2 linked regions of the Diceros bicornis minor genome follow. The protein of the gene in region 2 purifies or fractionates together with the protein of the main gene of each other region. This does not show direct contact. Links are inferred from orthologs where the notes say so. Each region holds a gene or a part of one and is shown on either strand. Other genes may lie near its edges. The genes, in order: RPTOR and RHEB.

Evidence for each region.
Region 1: the proteins of RHEB (region 2) and RPTOR purify together in Homo sapiens (affinity purification with western blotting, with the first as the bait; 3 studies listed by BioGRID). This does not show direct contact. The link is inferred for Diceros bicornis minor from reciprocal best matches to the Homo sapiens genes RHEB and RPTOR.

Annotation. Positions count from the first base shown.
Region 1 is NC_080757.1:60,039,867-60,052,688, reverse strand, and holds the start of RPTOR (regulatory-associated protein of mTOR), read right to left. Parts: upstream 4,607-12,822; 5' UTR 4,596-4,606; coding exon 4,434-4,595; intron 1-4,433. UniProt on the Homo sapiens protein: Component of the mechanistic target of rapamycin complex 1 (mTORC1), an evolutionarily conserved central nutrient sensor that stimulates anabolic reactions and macromolecule biosynthesis to promote cellular biomass generation and growth.
Region 2 is NC_080742.1:97,129,157-97,140,974, forward strand, and holds the start of RHEB (GTP-binding protein Rheb), read right to left. Parts: upstream 6,315-11,818; 5' UTR 6,091-6,314; coding exon 6,039-6,090; intron 1-6,038. UniProt on the Homo sapiens protein: Small GTPase that acts as an allosteric activator of the canonical mTORC1 complex, an evolutionarily conserved central nutrient sensor that stimulates anabolic reactions and macromolecule biosynthesis to promote cellular biomass generation and growth.

The sequences.
Region 1 (12,822 bases), on a different chromosome or scaffold from region 2:
TACTCCAAGTACTCAGGAAGCCAGTGGAGAGGGCCGGTAGGAAGTAACGAAATCTGATTTACACTTTTTAAAGATCCCTCTGGCCACTACGTGAAGAATCAATTGTGGGGCAAGAGTGGACATAGGGAGACCAGTCAGGAAGCAACTGCAGTCTTCCAGACAAAAGATGGTAGTTGCCCAGACTGGGCTTGCAGCAGTGGAGACAAAATGAGGTGGTCCAACATAAGATACGCTTTGGAGGCAAAGTTGACAGGTTCTACTGGTGACTGGTGACAAGGCAATGAGGAGAGGAAGAGGAAAGAATTAAGGATAAATTCTAGATTTACAGCTTGAACAACTGACTGGGTGGTGGTGGCGGTGTGCTGTGATGGAGAAAACGCAGGCAATTAGGTATCTGAGACAGGAGTTCCAGGGGCAGGGCAGAATCAAGAATGGGGATTTGAGAGTCCCTGGCATGTAGATGGCATTTAAAATCACGAGCCTAGATGAGATCAGCTAGCAAGGCGCGTACATAGAAAAGAGAAACGGGTCCAACATCAAGTCCCGGAGCAATCCACACTCAGCCATCAAACAGCAAAGGAGGGCCAACCCCGCGGCTTAGCGGTTAAGTTCGGATCCCGGGTGTGCACCGAGGCCCTGCTTGTCCAGCCATGCTGAGGCCATGTCCCACATACAGCAACTAGAAGGATGTGCAACTACGACATACAACTATCTACTGGGGCTTTGGGGAAAAAAAGGAGGAGGATTGGCAATAGACGTTAGCTCAGGGCCAGTCTTCCTCAGCAAAAAGAGGAGGATTAGCATGGATGTTAGCTCAGGGCTGACCTTCCTCAAAAAAAAAAAAAAAAAAAAAAAACAGCAAAGGAGTCTGAGGAAGAGCGATTAGAGACCTCAGAGGAAGAACTGAAGTTCTGGGAAGACACAGAATCAAGTGAGGAAAGAGTTTCATGAAGGAGGGAGTGGTCCACTGTGGAATGCTGCTGGGAGATCGAATAAGATAATGACAGAGAAGTGACCTTTATATTTAGCAACAAATTATGGCCGTGTTGGGGGTGGTTTCAGAGCCCAGGAAGGGAGCCTAACTGGAGTAGACTGCGAGAGGGTGCAAGGCAAGGAATCTATAGAGGGAGTAACGTTGGATTATAAAGTATTACTATTTACCCTTTTTTGGTCCATATATTAGTTTAATGTATCTACTTGGCTTCCTCCGTGGTTTATTTGAAGTGCAGCTTACAAAGCAAGGCAACTAAGCCTAGAGACTGGTTTGGGAAACGGCTTCATCGTTTTATAGCTACATCTTCTACACACATGTAGGTATAGTGTGTCTGTCGATGGTTTTCTTTCAGAGAAATAGCTCTCAAGCTTCTGTGATTCCATTCCATATGTGCAAGGCAAAAGATCCAATTATCCCCACATGCCCACTTTCCAATGGGAAAATGAACTCTGTGACAACTATAAAGTATCACAGTAAAACACAAATGGGGGAGATATATACACATCTGTTTCAGCCATAGGTCTATGAATGACTCATTTTGAACTGTAATTCATATAATTTAGTTATTTGAAAATTACAAGACAAAAATGCTATTGATGCATATACGTATCATTCACCATACACAGAGGAATTAACCACACAACAAACTAATTTTATAGTAACAGTATTAAATTAACAGTAACAGTAATTAAAACGCAAAAATAGTGGCATTTGAAAACCAGACTGGTTCAAAACAAAGACTATGGGAATCCCCACTGAGAGTGGGCATGTGCTGTAGCTCTATAAGGATGCCAAATGTTGAGTGGTAGAAAACATTTTGGCGTCATCAGTCAACTTCAGTAAAGATGTCAATTTCAGGAATCCTTAACAACTCCACCAAATAGGACACCAGAAGGTAACCACTAATATATACACAAAATAAACATACATGGATCTGTACATCAATCACAGGAAGGAGCAGACTTCAGTTAGAGCAGTCAACAGCCGTGGCTTAGCGGTTAAGTGCGCGCGCTCCGCTGCTGGCGGCCCGGGTTCGGATCCTGGGCGCGCACCGACGCACCGCTTCTCCAGCCATGCTGAGGCCGCATCCCACATACAGCAACTAGAAGGATGTGCAACTATCACATACAACTATCTACCGGGGCTTCGGGGGAAAATAAATTAATTAAAAAAAAAAAAATTCTTAAAAAAAAAAGAGCAGTCAACAGCCCACCAAGAAAAGTGGTCTGTGTAGGTCCTAGTACAGGACAACTGGGCCCACACGTGTTGCTTTACAAAGATGCTGCTCCATCAGACTGCTGGAGGCCACCTCCAGCACAGGGAGACAATCTGGCCTGAAAGCCTGTGTGCTCAGGATTCCTCGAGTCAGAGCGGCTGCCTGGAGCTGCCATATTACAGCAGAAGTCACACACGGGTAACCCACTGGCCAGAACCAACCCCACAAACTGGGTTTGTTTGGCCTACAGTGTTGGACTACTTTGTGTTTGTAATATCTGAATTAGTGCCAATATTTTAAAATTGAAAGACTTCACATTAAAAAAAAAAAAAAAAAGTTTTCTGGCTTCTCAAAGAAAAAGAGAGCAAGAGAAAGGGAGAGAAATCTGGCCGAGGCCCAGCTGCCCCTTTAGCTGCTTCGGCATGTGCTCGTCAGAGCCCTGCTGTTCACACCCTCCAGAAAATCACACACGAATCAAATGTCGGTTTTGAACCTATGCCATTATTCTTCTTATATCCTGCCTGTTTCATTCATTTAGGCTACCTTCCAACTCTTAGCATCACTGGAATTTGCAACCTTCATCCTAGTTGGGTGTACCTAAAAGGTACCCCCAGGGTCTAACCAGGGGAAAGAGTCTCCAAAGACTGTGAAGATGCCATGCTCTCACAAACTTAACTAAAAACATTAGCTGCTGATTCTCTTCTTTATTCAACAACTTGCAAAGGTCATATACAGCAAACTTTCTCCCTTGGCTCTTTTCTAAGTAGTAATCTCAGTAATTACTCAGACTCATAGAACTTTTCTTTCTCTTAACCTATGAAGAGCTTATCAGGGAATGTTGATCATTAACAAATTAATGCTTTAATTAAAAGGTCAAAAATATATCCATTAATCAGTTTTGGACAGTTTGAGCATGGGTTTAGGGTAGCAGAGGGAATCACATTTCAAAAGAAAAAAAAAATGCCCTCCTAATAGAATGAAAAAAAAATTAGATGGTTACTTTAAAATAAATTTCTTTTCATATATGCATAGCAACCACAAAAGTTTTGAACTATATAATTTGTACTCAAGATGTCCATAAGGCAGACTTTATACATTCTCTTCCAATGATCACCTCTTTTACTCCTTAAACTACTTTTGGAGGAAACAAATTTTCCTAACCTTTTAAAAGTAAGCCAAATCACTAACTGAAGCACTGGTTACTAGTGACTAACTAGAATTACCATAGAGTAATCTTATATATGTCCAACATCATATAATAAAAACAATAATCTTACATAAACATATTCATAAGCCCAGAGCAATCACATTGTACTGTAACACCAATTACCCCTCTGATACCACTAAAACGTTCAAATAAATAAAGACAGTTTTGAAGGAGAAAATAATTCATAAAAAGACAAATTATAAGTGTGCATAGACGAGATAGCCCCGCTCTTTTGGAGAACAGGAAATAGATGGTGGTTGATTAAGCGCAGATTCAACAAAATTGGCTGTTTTCCTTCCTACTAGCTGTTTGTGAGTCACTGTCCACACTCCAACACCATGGGGACCTCCTAAAAGCTGGATTCAAATTCCAATCCATTATACTCTCACTCCACTACGGGAGTGAGAGATTGGAGAAATTCTGTCTCCAAGTTATAGCAACATAACACAACATAAAAGGAGGAAAGTCTGGATTCAAGACAAATTGTTTAGAAGGCTAGATAAAGTTCACTGTAACTTTAAAATAACTTTGCATTAATTTGTTACTAGCTAAACATTTGTCAGTAATCTCGTTTCCTAGCATGCTATATTAGACTTCTGCACTTCACCTAGCATGGACAAAAAAAGTAAACTAACCACAAAAGTAGACTAACCACGTGGACACAAGTATTATATCTTAAGTTGTCTTTCCTCCACGTGTTAACAGCACTAAGTGTATCAAAGAGCGTGTAAATACTTGCAGTGCGGTACTTTCGAACTTACTTAACCTTTATTATCTGAATTAGAACTAAGTTTGAACGGAATTAACACTATCCAGTGAATAACTACTAACCAAAACACGCTTTTCCATTTACAACCCAAAACTGGAGTCTGAAATGGTTTTTGTGCTTTTCAGTTAACTTGCAACATGTGGCTGGGAAAAATATCGCCGCTTTCCCAAGGACACTCTTCTAACTCCGAACTTTCTTCCGTGAAAAGACTACCAGGTTCCAAGGGGCGCAGTTGGAATCCACTTACCCGATCCTTCATCCTCCAGCTCTGAGCTAAGGATTTGGAGCCTTCAATTTTCTCACAGTGCCTCTTTTTCATAAAAGCCAAAGGCAGGTTCCAGTCTGTAAGGTCGGCCTCATCTTCCTCCCCGAGTCCCAGAAGAGGCGACTGCAGCATCTCGGACTCCATCAGGGGGGGAGGGGGTGGTGGAGTCCTTGGCAGCAAGCGCTCGAGAACCTCCAGCCTTAAAAACTAGCGTATACCAGAATCGGTGAAATAAGAAACAGAAAAAGAGGGAGTAGAAAAAGAAATGCGAGTATGCGGAGACCCTTATTCAGGCAAAAAGTGTGAGATCCTTCTCTTTAACTCTGCGCGGGAAGTCGGAGGGGCTGGGAAAAGCTGGAGGGAAATGGGGCAGCCCAAGGAGCTCCGCACGTACACACACGCCCCCAGATCCCAAGCCACTGGCTGCTTCTGAGGCTGTACGTCCCCGGAGGGGCTGCGAGCGGAGCTGTCAAAGGCGTGTGAGACTCCAGGCCTCACGATGACCCTGCTCTCGGCCTCCAACGCCTCAGCCGATTCGAGGACAGGCAGGCCGCCCGCTCTTGGTGCCGGTTCGCTGACTGGGCTGAGGTCTCCGGCCGAGGGGAAGAAGTTCAGAGCGCCTCGGGTCTCCTCCAGCCACTCTCAGCCCTGTGGGTCCCGCAATCGCCGGAGCTGCTGCAACCAGAGCCAGGACCGGCCCATCGTGCTCGCCCGCAGCCGGCTCCTCAGCCCCAGGTCCGCGCGGTCTCGCCGGTCCTGGCCTTCGGCCCCGTGGCTCCCTCCTGCCCGAGAACGAGTCCTGAGAAACGAGCGACCCGGAGCCGCGGAGAAAACGAGTAATGTAGGCTTACTGGGTTTGGGGAGTTTTGCCCTCTGGTTTGAAGCTACAGTGAAACTCCTCTCATCAGCACATCAAGGAGGACGCCATATTGCCAAGACCCGGCATGCATCGCGATCTACGGCGTGGCTAACAGGCCAACCTTCCTCAGAGCGTTCTGGCCGCGCTTCCCAGGATGCGGCGAGAGAAGTCCCCGTCCCCCGTTACCATGGCTGCCACAATCTAGCTTTCCAGAGTTTGTCGCCATTCGTTCAATAGATCCATAATATCAAAGTCAATCCTACAAATGAAACTGTATTCATTTAATTAATTTTGATAAAATCTTTTTATTATTACAAATGGACCTACATGCTTCTGAAATTAAAGGAATCAAGCCTCTTGTTTCTTCCAGACTTTGAAAAGGCAGGAAAAGCTTCAGAAAGAATCATTGATAATATTACAAAAAAAGATAGAGTTGTGGGTTGTTTTGCACGTAGTATCCTCTACAGTATCAATCAGATTTTGATTTTTTCAGGGAACACCAAGTGAAAAATTTAATTTCAATGATTACAATTTTTTGTTTAATCCACCTTATTTTCTCAGCAGTTGATTTTTGTTTTGAGATAGCTTCATGTGTAAACAACTAAAACCTGCGGATTTCTATGCGTGGGGGCATGCCTCCTGCGTTTTTTCTGTATTTGGTAAACACTGCTAATTTACAATGTGTGGAGAACTGTGTCCAGTGCAAGAGGGATTATGAAACCGAATGAATGCAGCATGCAGTGCCTGCCTTCAATAAACTTAGTGTCCAGTGAAATGCACGTGTGACCTTTAGATAAAGCCAAGCAGGGGCAAAGAGGCTCGCCTTCCTCTCTGCATTTGGGCTTTGGTGTCAGGCACACCTGGTTCTGAATCTCAGCTGTATCCTTTCCATCTCTGTGACCTTGGTCAATCCCTTAATTAGCTCAGTCTCAATTTCCTCAGCTATAAATCTAGAGTAATAATACCCACCTTGAAGGACAAAATTAACCCGTGAAGGTGCCTAGTATATAGCGAGCGCCAAATACAATGCTAGCAGTGATGGTTCTGTAGCCATTGAAACTTAGCAACCCTATGCGCTTTATTAATCTAAAACCTCAGGTTGGGCTCTAGAAGATACTGTTTCTCAGTGTGGTTTACCAGGGCTTTGACACAAGGGGCAGTCCATATCAAAATCCTGATAGCATTTGTGTTCCTTTCAACATCCAAGTGAATAGTGCAATCCCAGATCTTTCCCGCCTAGCACATAGCAAGTGTTTAATAAAAGTTCTTGGGTTAAATAATTATCATCCCAAACATTCAGTTATTACATTGCAGTGGACCCAATTCTCCCACTAAAACTCAGAGCAAATTCATCAAAACACAGATGGAGGCTAAAACCTTGCTTTTCCCTGCCTTCTGTATTGGCAAAATATCCCCACAGTGACCAGCAGAGGCTATGGGACTGCAGGGTCCTGAGAAGACCCTATTCTCACCTGAAGTCAATAACATAACTCCTGTTGCTGCCTTGTCACCCCTGCAGCACACAGCAGTGAAGACCATGATCCCCTGGGCTACAGAGAACTTTGCTCCAGGCACTCTCGCAGGAAGCCACAGCTACAGAAAAGCAACAGCCTTAAACCCGCTCGTTCCTAACTAGCTCTGTGACCTGGGAAAACCCACTTAATCTGTGTGAGACTCAGTTTCCTCACCTGTAAAGTGTGTGTCACCTTGGGAAATCCACTCACCTTGTCTGATATTCCAAGTGAAAGGAGTAAAGGAGCCCATGGAACCCGAACCTGGCAGGTCATCAGAATCACCTGGGAAACTAAAACTAAAGATGCCCAGGTCCCAGCCCAGACCTACTGAACCACAGGGAGTGGGAAGACAGGCATTCAGGATCTATATTTTTTAGTCAGGTAACCTTGATGACAGCTTAACATCAGCCAGATTTGGGAATATTGGACAATAGTCTCTCTAGGGATATTAGACAATATTCTCCTCCAATGATTCCATTCCGGCCACATGGTGAGCCCTCAATTAATATTTGTACTGAATAAATGAATACTATAAAGCAATTATGCAATCTTCCATCTAATAAATCAGAACAAGACTCACCCTCTCCCCCAAACTACAGAACAAAACACACCCTCTACTGTTTTACAATGTGACTCCAGAACCAAGAGGCCATTTGGGGTCCATGTCCTGAACTGAGGGTCAGTATACACATATTCCAGTCCCCAGCCCACCACCAAATCCTGCAGACATGGGCAACGCCTCTGCCCTTCTCTATCTTCAGTCTCCACATCTGTAACAGGAGGAACTTGAAGAAGGTGAATCTCTAAGGACACTTCAGGTTCAAAGTTCTGTGATTCATGTAAAAACCAGAAAGGGGCTGGTGACAGCCCAGCTCCCAACTAGAAGTTTCAAGATTGGGCTTGAATCATTTCACAGCATCATGACATTTAAAAGAAACCTCATTCTAGTGTGTCCTGGATGACTCTGTTCAAGTCCCAGATAAGCATTTGGTGCGCACCAGGATCCAAACTGGGGAACCCCGGGCCGCCGCAGCGGAGCACACAGCGCACTTAACCGCTTGCGCCACTGGGCTGGCCCCCCAGATAAGCATTTGGAAGTGTAGCTCCAGGTTTCTGGAGGGCAGTGAGCATCTGTGACTAATGATAGGCTGGAAAATCAAGGGTTAATATTTCTCACCTGGGTGATCTCATTACCACGCTGTGTGATCTGCTGGCCACTTGGGCCTGCAGTTCCGATTTCCAATGTCTCCAGTTCTTCACAAGCAAGGACAGCTCCTGCTTTCCACAAAACCTCTAAATAAAATAATTTAATCTAGAAAACAAGTTTTATGAATTTCAAAAAATGCACAAAACCTGGTCTGATTTTCAAATTATGAAAATGGGGGAGGGTGTTGATGCCCTCCTGGTGGTGAACACCAGGCTGCAGATGTAGAACTAGAAGAGAGGAAGGGCTTTAAGGGCCAGCTCTGACCTGAAACAGCAGAACAATTTTTGACCTGCCGGTACAGAGAGGCGGGGACCTGTTCCTGAAATGTGAAGGAGACCATATGGCCCCTTCCAGCCCTAAAACTTTGGCTATTTGGCAAAGATAAAGCAAAGTAAGCAGAGAATGAATATAAAAACCTAAGAGTGTTGGACAAATACAACAGAAATTGGAGTAAACATGGCGGGGGAAATTGGGGCAGGGAGAGGGTCTGAATAAATGCCTTGGGTACCGAGCATGTTGCCCAGGAAGAACTATGGTGGCTGGATTTTCACAGCTTCCAAGCTCAGCTGTTGGCCCACCCGCAACCGACCTTATCTTCTCTCAAAACACAAGACCATCACAGCCAAGGTATTCCATTTGCAGGCAGGACCGGCTGCGTTCCGTCCTCCTCCAATCTTGCAGTTTCTCTGCTAAATCAATCAAGGGCATTCGATGTGTTTTGTCATCAAGAATCAGGAGCGAGACTGGAGGTCAAGCAACTGGAGAAAACCAGGTGCTTCGCTGAGCTATTGTTTTCCACACAGGGAGACCAGCCAGCTCCGTTCTTTCCAGAGAAATCTGTGCTTAGCTTAAAAGAAACCAAAATAGATATAAAGTACTTTGCTTTTGTCTGAGCATCATTACTTCTGTTTTTAGCAAATTCCAAGCCACCCCCCTCTGCAGGTCAGATGTTTTGTTGACAGTGAAGTGAGGAGAGGAAAGAAAGGGAAATAACAGGCCTCAACGAGTCTGCCTCCCTCTCCTACCATTGCATCCATCTAAAAATATAGTGATATTTGTGTACGTGATTGTCACCCCTACGGTATACCTTTCTATTTTATTTATAATTTTTTTTTACACTGAGCATGTATGGTTCTGATAAGCAGAAACAAACAACAATGTTATTCCATTTTAAAAAGGGGGTGACCCCTGAGGAGCATGGGACTATAGTAAAAAGCACCGCTCATTAAATTAACTTCACCCACTATCCACAGTTCTTTCAGAATTGAGAATTTTGCATAGCCTCAGCCTTAAAGAGCCAGCCGCAAGGCAGAGCCCATCAGGAAACGCACAAGGTAAGAGAACAGAGTGGAGTCTTCACAGGACTGTGCCTGCACCCCTAGCCCTCTCCTCCCCGCTCAGAGGGCTGTTCTGTGTAGGGCAGTGAAGAGCCTGCTGGGGAGCCTAGAATTTGGAGCAAGGTGGGGAGTGACGGAGCTGAAGCAAAAGTGCTCCAGGCCCAGTTCCCAGTGAGCCTGGCTTCCGGCACAGGCCCTCCGAGCGGTCAGTCTGGATGGCCTGGTGCACCCAGCTCCACACCTTCACTGGATCAGACACCGATGTCCACGGCCCTCGGGAATTCTTTGTGGAGAGGGAACGCAGGCCAGTGTCTCTCCCAGGTCACAAGTTCCATTAGAGTGAGGACCCTCCTTCCTCCCCCAGGACCCTGGAGGTAGAATTCACTGAGAAGTGGTCTACGCCCAGTGCAGACAAAGCGTTTAAAAAGAAAAGAAAAGGAAAGCTTTTATGATAGAGACTATATTGAGAAAATTTGTTATCCAATAAAAAATACGCAAACTGAATTTTATAATCTTTTATTTTAATAGCATTGCCTACAATAAGATTCTACCTTTATGAAAATACAAATAATATAACCAGCTGTCTCGTTTTAAACTCCTCATTTGTGATTTTATATAATATTCACATCTCATCAATGATTCTCAGGTTCTCAGAGAACACGAGGTCCTGGGGGAGCCCAGGTCAGCACAGCCATTGCCTCTGCCTTAATAAGGCGGATTAGAGACTGTGCCTGTAACTAAAATAGTATAATCCAGAGAGTGAATGTTTGCAGTGAGCCAAGCCCTTTTCATGAGAATTAACTCATTTAATCCTCCTAATAACCCATTTAAGGCTCCTGTTTTGGGTCCATTTTACTCGTAGGGAAATTGAGATACACAACGATTAAAGAGCTTTCTCAAGATCTCTCTGCTGGCCAGGGCTGGGGGAGAGACCAACCAGCACAGCCTGAGGCGAGGACCCGGGAGCCCACAAGCACCTCCTCGTGCCCCTGGGAGTCACGCCGACCTAGGTTCAAATCCCTGCTCTGGCACTTTCGTGTCCTGGGACACTGGGAGAGGTGCTAATTGCATGTGCAAAATAGGGAAATTAATAGTTTCTAATTCATAGAGATGTTGTAAGTATTCAATGAGCTAATGCCAGGCACATGCAAACACTCAGGAAAGGCTATTATTATTAACAAACTGCTGTAAAAGATAAATTCCATCTGGGTCGATTAAAAAGTCTTCACGGAAAACACAGCATGTGTGCCTGAGCCTCAAAAGTGGATTTCCTTTTTTTGAATAATTCTAATTGTTTTTCTAAATAAAAGCCTTACATGTGGGGTGGGAGGGAGACGTAAGAGGGGATGTCTGGTTTTTCACGGGAGATGTCAGTGGATAAGGCCGTAAACTCATTTTTAAAAAGTGAAGACAGAGATTGTAAACACGCCGTGTAGAAATGCTGAGGCGAATATGACAAGAAACAGCCAAACACATGGACCAGCTGCTCCAGCGGGTGGGTGACACGGGACGGGGGCCAAGGACTGACACCTTCCCTGCTTTATAGTCCCAGAAATATTATTTTACACTTTCAACAGTGTAACCTAGCACTTTGACAATTTTTCTTAAATTTAACAAATAAAAAGTAATTAATACTTACCGGAGGAAATTGGAAAATGTCAAAAAGAATGAAGAAAAAAAATTAAAATGACGCCTCAAACCACAGTCCCGACAGTCCCACAGTAACCACTGCTCCCATTTTGTGTATTTCCTTTCTGCCTTTTCTTTCTGGCATTTATATATTTAAAAATCTATTTGCCTTTTACATTAAAAAATAACGTTATTCTGAAACATTATTTTGAAGATAAGAACAAAAAAACACTTTTAATTCCATTTCCCAGACATAACTGCTATTACTATTTCTTTGAATAGCCTTCCAGTATATATTATAAATATGTATTATAGACATGCTTATCTGTATAGTTTTTGCGAAAAAGAATCATTCAATCTTATATAAACAATGCTATTTAACAAAACATTTCATTTGTGCCTTATCTTTTCATTAACAGCAGGAGCATTTTCCCGTGTCCTCACTTCCCAGCATTCTCCACATCAACACCGTGAGAGGCTATGTGTGCCCCTAGTGCAGAGAGAAACTGCAAGAGTGACCCATAGAGAAAGATTTTCATTGTTAATTTTTTTTTTTTGTGGGCACAACTTTTGGGGCTGCTCCATGAAGCTGTGACCTTCGCTTGGTTTAATGAAATTGAACAGGCTAGACCTTTGGTTACAAAGATGTAAGGCGAACACCCTCTCATTCATTTCGAAAACATCCTGAGGGACCTTAAACCTGCATGCAGGGCCTTTGGAAGGCTCTTAAGTGTTCGACTGAGTGCTAATTAAAATAATTATTGTAATAACAATTGCTGACACTTCTAGCACACTTCCTGTGAACCGGACCCTGTTCTAAGCACTTCAGACCTAGTAACTCAATACTCACAACAAGCCTACTGTCCCCATTTTACAGGTAAGGAAGCTGAGGCACAGATTGAGTATCTTGCCACAGGTTATACAGTTAGTAAGTGGTGGAACCGGGATTCAAACCAACGGGTTGAATTCAAAGCCGAGGTTCCCAAATTTTGCTGTACATCAGAATCACTAGGGGGGCTTCAAAGGCCAGAAACCCAGGCCGCACCCTCACTAGTAGAATGTCAGGGGATGACAGCCGGATGGTAGCCTGGAATCCCAGGCGCTCCCAATGCCAGGGCAGTGGGACCCACAGCTTTGAGGCCTGTGTTCTTAACCACTGTGCTGATCGTACACAGGGAGCTTGTTTCCAGCCTGCCAGACGCGCGTGGAGGTGGGTGACATGGTTCCTGAAAAGCGAGCTTCATCGCGTCTTGGAGAAACGTGCTGTTGTGGTGACTCGTCCAGGCTGTGCAGTCTTGCACTTAGCTGTGGGCGAGGCTGGGTCGAAAGCTGGAGCAAGCTGGTCAGAGAAGGCTCATGGTGGGCTAGGTTAGGTCTCCCCAGGTGTCCGTGCGTCCCGGGGCAGTCCTGGTTTTCACCTTCTGCACTGACATTATTAATAGTGCCTTCTTACAGTCTCGAAAATGTCCTGGTTTGGATAATAAACTATAGTCACCTACCTTTTACCCATTCTCATGAGACCTATACTTTTTACCCATTGTGTACATCATTGTTCCAATCAAACATCTGTTTGTCCTAATGTCCCTTTTCCCAGCTAGAGAGAAACTCCATGAAAACAGTGACTGTGTCTTCTCATTCTGCCCCGCAGAGAGCACAGAGCCTGGTAGAGCAGCGGGCACACAGGGAGTATTTGTGGAATGATTCAGATGAGCAGGACCCCAGGGAGCCCCTGCCAGAAGCAGAAACAGGGCCGGGGCACAGCATGGACAGCTCAGATTGCTCTGCTCAGGAGCCTCAGGGCACAGGCACACTGACCGAACGGTAG
Region 2 (11,818 bases):
GTGAAACTCTGGGGGTCCCTTAAGACCTTTTCAGGGGGGTTCATGAGGTCAAAACTATTTTCATAACAATACTAAGATATTATTTGCTTTTTTCACCACGTTCATATCAGCACTAATTTGCAAAAGCAATAGTAGGTAAAACTACTGGCTTGGTACCTCTTAGCATGAATCAAGATGGTGGTTACAAACTGTAGTGAAAAGTCATTGTATTATTCACTACCATGCACTCACAGTAAAAAAAAGAAAAGCCATTTTCATTTAACAGTAGGAGTACTTGAGTACTGCAGTACTTGAGTAAAGCAGTACTTGAAGCAGTAACAATTATTAATTGTATTAAATCTGACCCTTAAGTACGTCTTTTTAATATTCCACCTGACAAAATGGGATGGATGCATATGGAAGTAGGATGATTGGCTTGAGGAACAGCACTTGTGCAACTGTTTGGGAAGTGATCTGAAATAACACTTTTATCATGGAACACCATTTTTACTTGCAAGAATGACCAACAAACTATCATTATTTCAAATGTGGGTATCTGGCAGACATTTTCTTGGAAATGAAACTGTCACTTCAAGAAAAACTAGTAGCACTTTCCCAATGATCACATTCAAACTCTGAAGAGAAAATTAAAACTTGGGAAAACTTGCATTACTTATGGAGAGCTTAACAGCTTCCTAATATTTAAATGTTTGAGGAGATTGGTGGTGATATTAAAAATTTTGATTTTAAAAAGGTATTTATATATAGAAACGTCAAAATGTGGAAGAATCTGTGTAATAGTGAACCAATACGTATTTTCCAAATGACCAATGTATGATGTTATAAAATCAGGCATGGGTAGAAGATCCATTCAAAGTGCAAAGCAAATGAATGGAGTTATATGTAACATGGTAGAAAAAAATTCATCCACATAATTTCAGATTGCATACTACAATAACCTCTAAGAAACTACCACCTATGGAGTTTTGGTGAGTATCAAAGAATATCCACAATTATCTGAAAAAGCTATTAAAATACTCCTCCCTTTCCCAACTATGAATCCATGCAAGGCCGGATTTCCTTCATATCCGTACTTCATTAGAGTAACATATTGTAACTCAATGAATTCAGAAGCAGATATGAGAATTCAGTTGTTTTTTAAACCAGACATTTAAAGATACTTGCAAAACTACAAAACATCCTATGAAAACTCAGTTGCTTTTTTTGCAGAAATTAATAAGCTAGTCCTAAAATTCACATGGAAATGCGAGAGACTCAGAATAGCCAAAACAATCTGGAAAAGTTAGAGGACTCATACTTCCCTAATTTTGAAACTTTTTACAAAACTACAGTAATCAAGATAGCGTGATACTGGCATAAGGACCGACACAGAGATCAAAGGAATAGAGTCCGAAAATAAACCCTTACATTTATAATCACTTGGTTTTTGACACGGATGTCAAGACATTCAATGAGGAAAGAATAGGCTTTTAACAAAACATGCTGGGACAACTTGACATCTACATGCAAAAGAATGAAGCTGTACTCCCATCTCCCACCATATGCAAAAATTAACTCTAGGGGCCAGCTCGGGGGCCTACTGGTTAAGTGCGAGCGCTCAGCTTCAGAGGCCCGGGGTTCACAGGTTCGGATCCCGGGCACACCCTGACACACCGCTTGTCAAGCCATGCTGTGGCGGTGTCCCATATAAAGTAGAGGAAGATGGGCACAGATGTTAGCCCAGGGCCAGTCTACCTCAGGAAAAAGAGGAGGACTGGCATTGATGTTAGCTCAGGACTGATCTTCCTCACACACACACAAAAATTAACTCTGAATAGATCATAGACCCAAATGTAAGAGCTAAAAGTATAAAACGTTTAGAAGAAAACATGGTAGTAAATCTACATGTCCTTGGATTAGGCCATGGTTTCTTAGATATGACACCAAAAGCACAAGTGACAAAAGAGAAAATAGATAAAACGGACTTTGTCAAATTTTAAAACTTTTTGCTTCAAAGGATACCATCAAGAAATGAAAAGACAACCCACAGAATGGAAGAAATTACTTGCAAATCATATATGATACCACTTCACACCCATAAGGATGGCTAAAATCAAAAAGTACTTCAATAACAAGCATTGGTGAGGATGTGGAGAAACTGAAGCCAATTTCAACTGTTGGTAGGAATGCAAAATGGTGCAGCTACTTTTGGAAAACAGTTTGAGAGTGCCTCAAAATGTTAAACACAAAGTTACCATATGACCCAGCAATTCCACTCCTAGGAATATACCCAAGAGAAACGAAAACATATGTCTACACAAAAATTGGTACAGGAATGTTCATAACAGCATTATGCATAATAGTCAAAATGCAGAAACAACCCACATGTCCATCAATTGACAAATGTATAAATAAAATATAGTATATGAATAACAAAATACTATTTGGCAACAAAAAGGAATGAACTACTGACACATGCTACAACATGGATGAATCTTGAAAATATTTATGTTAAATGAAAGATGCCAGTCACATAAGATCATGTAAGTATGATTCCATTGATATGAAATGCCCCGAATAGGTAAATTCAGAGAAACAGAAAGCAGATTAGTGGATGCCAGGGACTGAGGTGAAGGAAGGCTAGGGAGTGCCTGCTAGTGGGTACAAGAGTTTCTTTTCAGGGTGCTGAAGGTAAGTACGGATAGATATAACCCACAAGAACATCAAAATAACATAAATGCAAGCTCTGATTATTCTCTTGTACAGAACAATGAATGACACCAAAAAAAGTGAATTTCAAGCTTTAACACAAGGTGGCCACTATAGCACTACTCCCACCCACAAGTACACAACCTCAAAATGTTACTAAGCACCTGAACATACAGTTTCACACACTGATAGATTTTATACACGGCAAACAATGTTTTATCTTTAAATTTTCAATTAAATGTCTCAGAAAAGGACAGTATAATTTAAAAATAGACAGTAAATCAGAATATAATTGGATTGTATTCTACTGGGAACAAATTTAATGACATCTTTACCTATGAAGTATCCAAATCAAAGGATGCATCTTTCTTACTACCTAAAACATTTCGACGAGGTAATAATTTGAGTTACTTTTGCCGAACTGCCTTTTACCAAATCAGAGTTGTTTCATTTTCTCCCTTACGATGGTTCACATTCCTGTGGTCTCGTCCCTCCTGTTAACCGCAGAGACTTATAACTTTGTGATTATGGTCTAATGGTAAACTAGATTATCAAAGCTCTCTGTAGAGGATTCCAGTAAGAGATGTACCAGATTTTATTTGAAGATAGTTATGCAACACTAAAATTCTGACTTGATTAAGTTGAGTTGCCTCCTGTCATGGGACTACTCATTTGTATTAGAAACAATGAATGTAAGGGAGCTGGTACATTTGGCCACCACTAAAACAATACACAGCACTCCCTGAAAGCCAGCCTGCCTTACAGGTGACGTGTCCTTAAAAGCTTAACATTGTAAATAACAGGAAAAGTACTTCCGGAAACAAGCTTTTAAATTACCTGAGAATTATGTTTTCCTCACTGGTAGTTTTATCAATGTTTAAAAAAAACCACAAAATTTGAAAGCCAAGTAGTAAAATAATCATAGTATTTAGTAGTTTTACCTGAAAGCAAATTTTTAAAATAAAATTTGTGACGTGACAAAATCAAAATAAGTATTCGCCTAGTCAAACTGGCAGAAAATATTTAATCAAGAGAACATTCTAAGAAAGGTGTGGTTTCTAGCTGAGCCTAACATGCCACAACAGCTTAGCATCACAAATTAACATAACCTAGAAACACACTCAAATATCTCTTGTACAGCACCGTTTGCAAGCAAACACATCAGTAAACTCCTACAAGTCTGAATACTGAATAATTCTCTGAAGAGTGGCTAGTACATGCAATCAGGAAATCACTCCCTTTTTTGATGCTGGCAAAACAAAATGAAACAAAAGACTCCAAGTTGTCCCGGTTCATAACAAAGGTAAATAGCTTTAAAATCAAATGCAAATATTGAGAGTAATTTAACCTCTCCAAAATACCTTTTAGTTTAATCATCCCTACACTTGAACATAAATATGGAGAAAATGGAGGCGATTAGTAACGACCTACAGAGGGCATAGGAAACAGGGACTAGAACTTACTCTGTATCCCACTGGAGGCTAATTTAGCACAGTATTTTAACAGCAGTTTAAAATGAACGTTTGTGAAGAGAAGTTTAAGGGGTGACCTGTCACATCTGGGTCTTTAGGAGGAGGATGATTAGAAGAAGATAAAACAGAATGGATTTCAACTGGACATAAGGAACTTCTTTATAAAACAGTGATAAAACAGACTTGCTTACTGAAGGCTAGAATCACCATCTCAAGAATTTCAAGGGGTAAATAAGTCAGGACCTTTGGGACATGCTCTTGAGTTGAAATCGGGTAGCCCAGGTACAGGTCACCTGTAACTGTTCTATTCAGAGACTGCGATCTTCAATTAGTGGGCACTCTGTATGTGATAGAGCTCACTCAAGAGCAGGATATGTCCAAGTCCCACTCTTCAAAACGCAGAGGAGGAAATTAAGAACAGAGCAGCAAGGGCTTGGTGATTTAGGCTGCCAATAAAGGCTGGATGCCGGGTTCCATACCGGCATTTGGGGAGTGGGCTGTTAGTGACTTTAAAAGCCTCAATTTGATGCATCGTAACTTTATGGCTGCAGCTGTTCAGGCTGTCACCAGTCCTTCCCCACGTGTACCTACGATCTGACACTGCATCACACGCGACTTACCGCTACGACTCCTGGAACCCCCATCTCTAAACAAGCGTCTCTCAGCCTTTGATTTGCCCTCTATTCTTACGATTTCCACCCCCAACCCCCCCCGGAACCGTGACGGAGATGAGAAAAGGATGAGTAAGCATGCTGTAGCTGATCTTGGTCAAAGAACACAGACCCTGGCACCGGCGGTGGAAAATGGGGGTGAGGAAGCAGAAGAGAAAGCGCAGTCGGGGGAGTTCATCCAACGCGCGGCAGGCAGCTACGAGCTTTCCTACGGCAACTATCCTTGCCGCCTCCTGCGATCACCAGACTCCAGCCCCTCGCTTTCCCCTCCTTCCCCCACCAGGGTCAAGCGGACCTTTTCCTTAGACAGTTACTCCTTAAAAAACAACACGGACAGAGAAGCGTAATTTCCCCAGGCTTCCAGGTGTCAGACAATAACGCCTCACCCGGAAGCACGGTTAAGGTCACCGGTTCCGTTTTCTCACTCGTTTTCTGGCGCCCTGTCCACTCCCGAGCCCACCAGGGACCACCCCAGTCCAGCAAGCAGGCGACTGCCGGGAACCGTTTCAAATACATGTCAACCTTTCGGCAAAAAAAAAAAAGAACAACTTTTGAATTACTTCAACAGCCTGGTTACAAGTACCTGACCCTATTTTTCCCGAAGAAAAATAGGACACCGAGACACCAGACACTTCTTTTCCTCTGCCTTTCTATTTCGGCCGCTGCCGGCACCTAGGGGCTTCCGAAGAGGGCTCTTCGGGGTCTCTGCGGTGGGAAGCTTGCCCTCAGAGGCCAAACGTCCTTTAGGTCCCTGGTTTTCTCTAACACGCTGAACTCCACCACAGAGAACCTCACAAGGTGCTGTTCCCTTTGTTAAAACCCCCGGACCTGACTGAATTCGGGGCGGAAAAGCCGCTAGCGACGACCCGCCAGCCAGCCGCGAAGAGGCGGAGACAGGTGCGGGTCCCTCGGAGGGGCCCGCGGCGGCGCCGGCAGAGCAGCAGACGCTCCGCCGCCGCCGGCCCGCACGAACCGGGACACCCGCGCGCCCGCGGCCTCCCCACACGGCCTCCCCGCCCCCGGGCCGCCCTCCGCCACCGCCTCCGCTCAAAATGGAGGTAGTGGCGGCGGCGGCGGGCGGCTGGTTACGAAACGCGCGGCCGCCACATGGCCGCGCCGGCCCCAAACTTGGCCCGGCCCGAGGCGTCCCGGCGCCCAGGAGAGGCGCGGCCCGGCGCGAGGAGGCCGCGCGGCGCCCGCCACTCACCCACAGACCGGTAGCCCAGGATCGCGATCTTCCGGGACTTGGACTGCGGCATCTTGGCGGCCTCCTCAGCCCCGGGCCAACCACATCAATCGCGGCGACGGCGCCGGCTCCTGTGCTGCGATCGGCGGCGGCCGCGCCGGGGTAGAGCGGCATCCAGGGGCGGGGCGGGCGGGCGCGGCTGCCTGGGCTCCTCGCTCGCGCGCTCAACCGCCCGGAACCGCCGCGCGGCCCCGCCCCCAAACACGCCCACGTGACCGCCCGCCGCCGCCGCCGCCGGCCCCCTGCGACCCGCGTCAGCACCGCCCTCCCCGCCGCGGCGGCCGCCCCCGCCCCCGCCCCCGGAAGGCACGCGGGGAGGCGGCGACGGCGTTTTACTGTAAAGGGAAAAAGAGGGGAGGCCGAGATGCCCCCAGAAAAGTCACGACTAAAACTCGCTGCGTCATGTCCCTCCCACCGTCTTCCGCCGCTTTTTAATTACGCCAATTCTCCCCGAGCGCTGATTGGACAGCTCCCGCCCGCCCGCGCGATGACGCGACGGAAACTCCGTCTCCCATTGGTGGCGGTGAGGAGGCGGAGCCAGAGGCGGGGCTGCTGGCCCGGGAACTAAAAATAAAATCCGGCTGTGACCGCGCCGTTAGCCGCCAGGGAGGTTTGAAGGCCCGGAGCGTCTCAGTGGTGGAGGCGGGCGGGAGGGGCGGAGAGAAGCTAGCTCCCCAGTGATTGGTTAGACCAGGGGGAGGGGCGGGACAAGCTTTGGGAGCCGTGGTGATTGGCGGAACTCTGAGCGGTTGGTAGACTCGCGCCCGCTGAGCCCTTAAAAGGCGCGAGGCGCGTGGCCGTTACGGGCTGGGCTGTGGGTTGGTTGGTTTTTCCTCCGGGTTGGTTTTTTTCGGAAGAAACGCTGCTATATTGGCGTTAGTGAGTCTGGGTTTGAGGATGTAGCTGGTGACTAAGCGTCATCCATGAGTAAAAGACCGTGGAAAGAATGGAATATGCATTAATTCAAAATGTTAATGCATTTCATTAAAAAATGTGCGCCTTCCCAGTTCTGGTCTCAACTCTGCGTCCTGCGGACCCAGCACACCTCACAGGAAATAAATAGCGCAAGTCAATACATCTTTAATGTCAACACTTGCGTGGCTAATTCGGTAGACAGGCACCAGCTGTTGTTGGCTGAGAACGCTCCGAACTGTTCTTGGTGGGGGGGGATTTAAGTACGCTGGGCTCGCCCTCCTGTGTGGGCTGACCTCTCCAGTAAGGGGACGCTGTTGTATTTCCCACAAAAGACGCGCTGACAACCCTTTTTCCCACTGGTGCTGCTGAAGAGGCATTGGGGTGTTACAGCAAGGAACGCCAGCCCGGGAGGCCTCGGTTGTGGAAAATGAAGGTGCAAGCCCAGGCCTGAGCAATGAGGATGTGATGGGGAGATTTCAGCCAGGGAGACTTTTCCATCGTGGTAGATATTCTTACCCTTAGTGGTTGCTAAAGAAGCAGATAGCCCGCTACTGCAATGAGCGTCCTCTGTTGTCCCCGGGCTGTTTGACCACCTGCGTGGTCACGGCCCTTTGCCTTTCCCAGTGAGCACAGAGAAGGAACCCCTACGAAGCTGAGCTGCAGGATTGGGTTCCTCTGTATGAAGATCTAGAGGTGACTGTCCCATAAATGTGCTTATTTCTCATATAGGGTGTTATACAAAACCAAACAACGCAAGGGCCGGCCTGGTAGTGGTTAAGTTCGGCACACTCCACTTTGGCGGCCTGGGATTGGCAGGTTCAGATCCCAGGCGTGAACCTACACACTGCTCATCAAGCCATGCTGTGGCGGCGTCCCATATACAAAATAGAGGAAGATTGGCACAGATGTTAGCTCAGGGTCAATCTTCCTCAAGCAAAAAGAGGAAGATTGGCAACAGGTGTTAGCTCAGGGCCAGTCTTCCTCACCAAAAAAAAACCCAAACATGCAGATTTGGGAAACATGCCAAGGTCATTTCATTGCGTGGTCTTGTGGATGGCAGAGCAGTTTCCTCAACCGGGCCTTGATAGGCCTGAACTCAGGAGTCTAATGAGGCCATCCTGGGGAAGGCAAGTCCCCAACTTACACTGGTTGGGATGAAAAAAGATCCTCTTCTCTCTGAAGCCAGGGATCAGTCTGGCCTGAACCCTGAGATATGGAGTTTCATGGAGGGCTCCCAGAAGAGGGAAATGGAGTAAGCCAGCTGGAGTCCATGGAGGTAGGCCATTCATGAGGGAGGAATGTGCTTTGTTGAGTTAGAGCACTGGCGCTAGGGCAAAATCCTTCCACCATCCTGTTGAAGTACGCCTTGGAGAGGGGGACTGCGCATTCACATCCTGCGGGTCTGCAGATTGAAGCCCCAGGCGACCAGCTGGATGGCTCAGCAAGGAGCTCTGAGGCCAGGTCTGGGCCTATGCAGTAGTTGTAAATTGTTCTTCACTGTTAGGGGTTGAATGTGTCCCCCAAAAAGATATGTTGATGTCCTAACTTTCTCAGAATGTGATCTTATTTGGAAATAAGACTGTTGCAGATGTAATTAGTTAAGATGAGGTCATACTGGAGTAGGGTGGGCCCCTCAATGACTGGTGTACTTGTAAGAAGAGAAGAAGAGACACAGACACACATACACAGAAGGAAGACAACCATGTGAAGATAGAGGCAGAGATTGGAGTGATGCTGCCACAAACCAGGGAATCCCTGGGGCTCCCACAAGCTGGAGGAGGCAAGGAAGGATCCTCCCCTAGAGACTTCAGAGGGAGCACGGCCCTGCCGACACCTTGATTTTGGATTTCTGACCTCCAGAACTGTGAGACAATAGATTTATGTTGTTTTAAGCCACCCAGTTTGTGGTACTTTGTTATAGCGATCCTAGAAAACTAATCCATCAACTATCCTCAAATCGTCAATAAAATTGCATTAAAAGTTCAAATCTAGTTTCTGCTGGGCTGTGGATGAAATTTGCCTTCTCCCCAATTCTCCAAGCCAGAGTGCACCTAGTAGGAGCTTTCACCAGCAGAGGCTGCATGCCCAGCAGAGAAAGTCTCCTGAGGGTCCTTGGTAGTCGCCTGTCAAGATGGCTGGAGCAGAACACCTGCTCCTAAGAGCTTGTGCAACAGCACCTGGGGGATGCTCAGGGAGAACCAGGAGGCTATTTCCTTTCAATAAAATAGGCGATGGCTTCTGCCAGTAAGGCTTGCATTTACATGTGCTCTTCAAATGTGCCTTAGATGTGGAATTTAGTCACAGTATTCATAAACCACTGAAAGTTATAATTACCCTTTGACAGATATATTCACTATTGGTTCCTCCTCCTATGTGAAGAGTTCTCAGTGTTGGATTTTACCCAGCATGTGGAGATCCAGGGAGTTTCTTCCATTGGTGTGCAGGAAAAAAAATAAACTTCTGTTTTGTTAACATTTTTATTTTAAAAATAAAATAATTGAGCTTTGCGAATATGTAATATATGGATTGACCATGGCACCCTCGTCTCTTGTTTGACAGAGGGTGGCACGTCGTGACCGGTACAAGAGGTATCCTGGTGGGACTTCCTCAACAGGGAGGGGTTGGCAGTGTTGCCCTCAATGTTTAGTGTTCGGAATAGTATAATGTGTTGCTTTTCATGTGTCTGGTTCCGAGGAATTACAGAATATATTACCTAAGTTCTGCAAAACTAAATTAAATCTCACAAAATGGTTGTGGGTCTTAAAAGATTTCCGTCAGGGCCGGCCCCGTGGCTTGGCGGTTAAGTGCGCACGCTCTGCTGCTGGCGGCCCGGGTTCGGATCCCGGGCGCGCGCTGACGCACTGCTTGTAGGGCCATGCTGAGGCCGCGTCCCACATACAGCAACTGGAAGGATGTGCAACTGTGATATACAACTATCTGCTGGGGCTTTGGGGGACAAATAAATAAATAAATAAAATTATTAAAAAAAAAAAAAAAAAGCTTTCCGTCAAAGAAACCATGAATTAACAATTAGAATAAAAATGCAGTATACGCATACACTAAGAAAAATGGCAGGGCTACCGCCTCTTCCTTGTATGAGCTCTTTGCCAACTACATTAAAGGTAAACGTGGTAATCTAATCATATTTTGCAAGAAAATGACCAAAAATTTTTACAAAAAAGTAAAAATCCTTTTAAAATATGGATTCACATCCACTTTCATTAATGATGACTAAGTGTAATTACACCTGGATATTTGCTAATGACAGAGGAAGTATCCCTCACAAATAGCAAGATCTTTAAAAACTAAGCATCCAAAACACTAAGGCAGACTTTCAAATTTTTTGAAACTCTTTTTTGGAAAATTTCAAGCACATATAAAAGTAGATTAGTACAGTGAACCCTGGGCCCATCACCTGCTCCAGTGTTTGCTGAGTCTCGGACAATCCTGTTTCATCTATGTGCTGCCCGCTTCCCCAGTCACCCATGGGTTATTGTGAAGCAAATCCTAGACATCATACCATTTCATTCATAAGTATTTCAGTATTTTCTCTGAAAGATGACTCTTTTAAAAAATATGCCATTTTTACACCGAAAACAAACAAAACCCATTAAGGAGCCCTTAATACCACCAAATATCCAGACTATTCAAATGTCTCTTCATGCCTCATAATTTTCTTTAACAATTTGTTTCTTTAAGTCAGAATCCAAATAAAGTCCATATAATGCAGTTGGTTACTATTATCTCTTAAGTCTTTTTTTAAAATAAACTTTATTTTTTAGAACAGTTTTAGATGTATAGAAAAATTGTAAAGATAGTATAGAGAGTTCCCATGTGCCCTGCATCCGATTTTCCCCATTATTAACATCTACATTAGTGTGGTACATTTGTTAGAATGAATTAACCAATGCTGATACATTATTATTAACTAAAGTTCCTATATTATGCGGATTTCCTCAGTTTTCCCCTAATGTCCTTTTTCTGTTTCAGGATCCCACTTTACATTTAATTGTCATGTCTCCTTGGGCTCCTCTTGGATGTGACAGTTTCTCAGACGTTTCTTGTCTTTCATGACCTTGACAGTTTTGAGGAGTGCTGGTCAGGTGTTTTGCAGATTGTTCTTCAATAGGATTTGTCTGATGTTCTTCTCATGATTAGGCTGGGGTTACAGGTTTTGGGGAGGAAGACCACAGAGGTAGAGTGCCATTCTCATCACATCATATCAAAGGTGCCTAGTATCAACATGACTCATCACTGCTGATGTTGACCTCCATCACCTGGCTGAGGTTGTGTTTGTCAGGTTTCTCCACTGGAAAGTTACTCTTTTTCTCTCCCTTTCTACACCGTCCTCTTTGGAAGGAAGTCACCGTGTACAGCCTTCACAAACTGGGAGTTAGGCTGTATCCTAGTTTCCTTCAGCCTTTCCTTTAGAATTTCCTTTAGCATTTCTTGTAGTCTGGCAACAAATTCATCATTTATTTATCTGAAAGTTGCCTTTATTTCATTTCTTTAACTTTGCATTTTGAAATAATGATAGATTAACAGGTAGTTTCAAAAGTAGTACAGAAAGGTCCTGTGTACCATTCTCCAGATGATAACATTTTACATAAATATACTATAATATCAAAACCAAGATATTGAAGTTGGTGCAATCCACAGAACTCATTCACATTTCACAAGTTTTACATGCACTCATTTGTGTGTGTGTGTAGTTCTATTCAATTTTACTACATGTGTAGATTTATGTAACCAGAAGCACAATCAAAATACGTAGCTGTCCCATCACCAGAAAGATCTTCCTCATGCTGTCCTTTTATTTCTCTTTA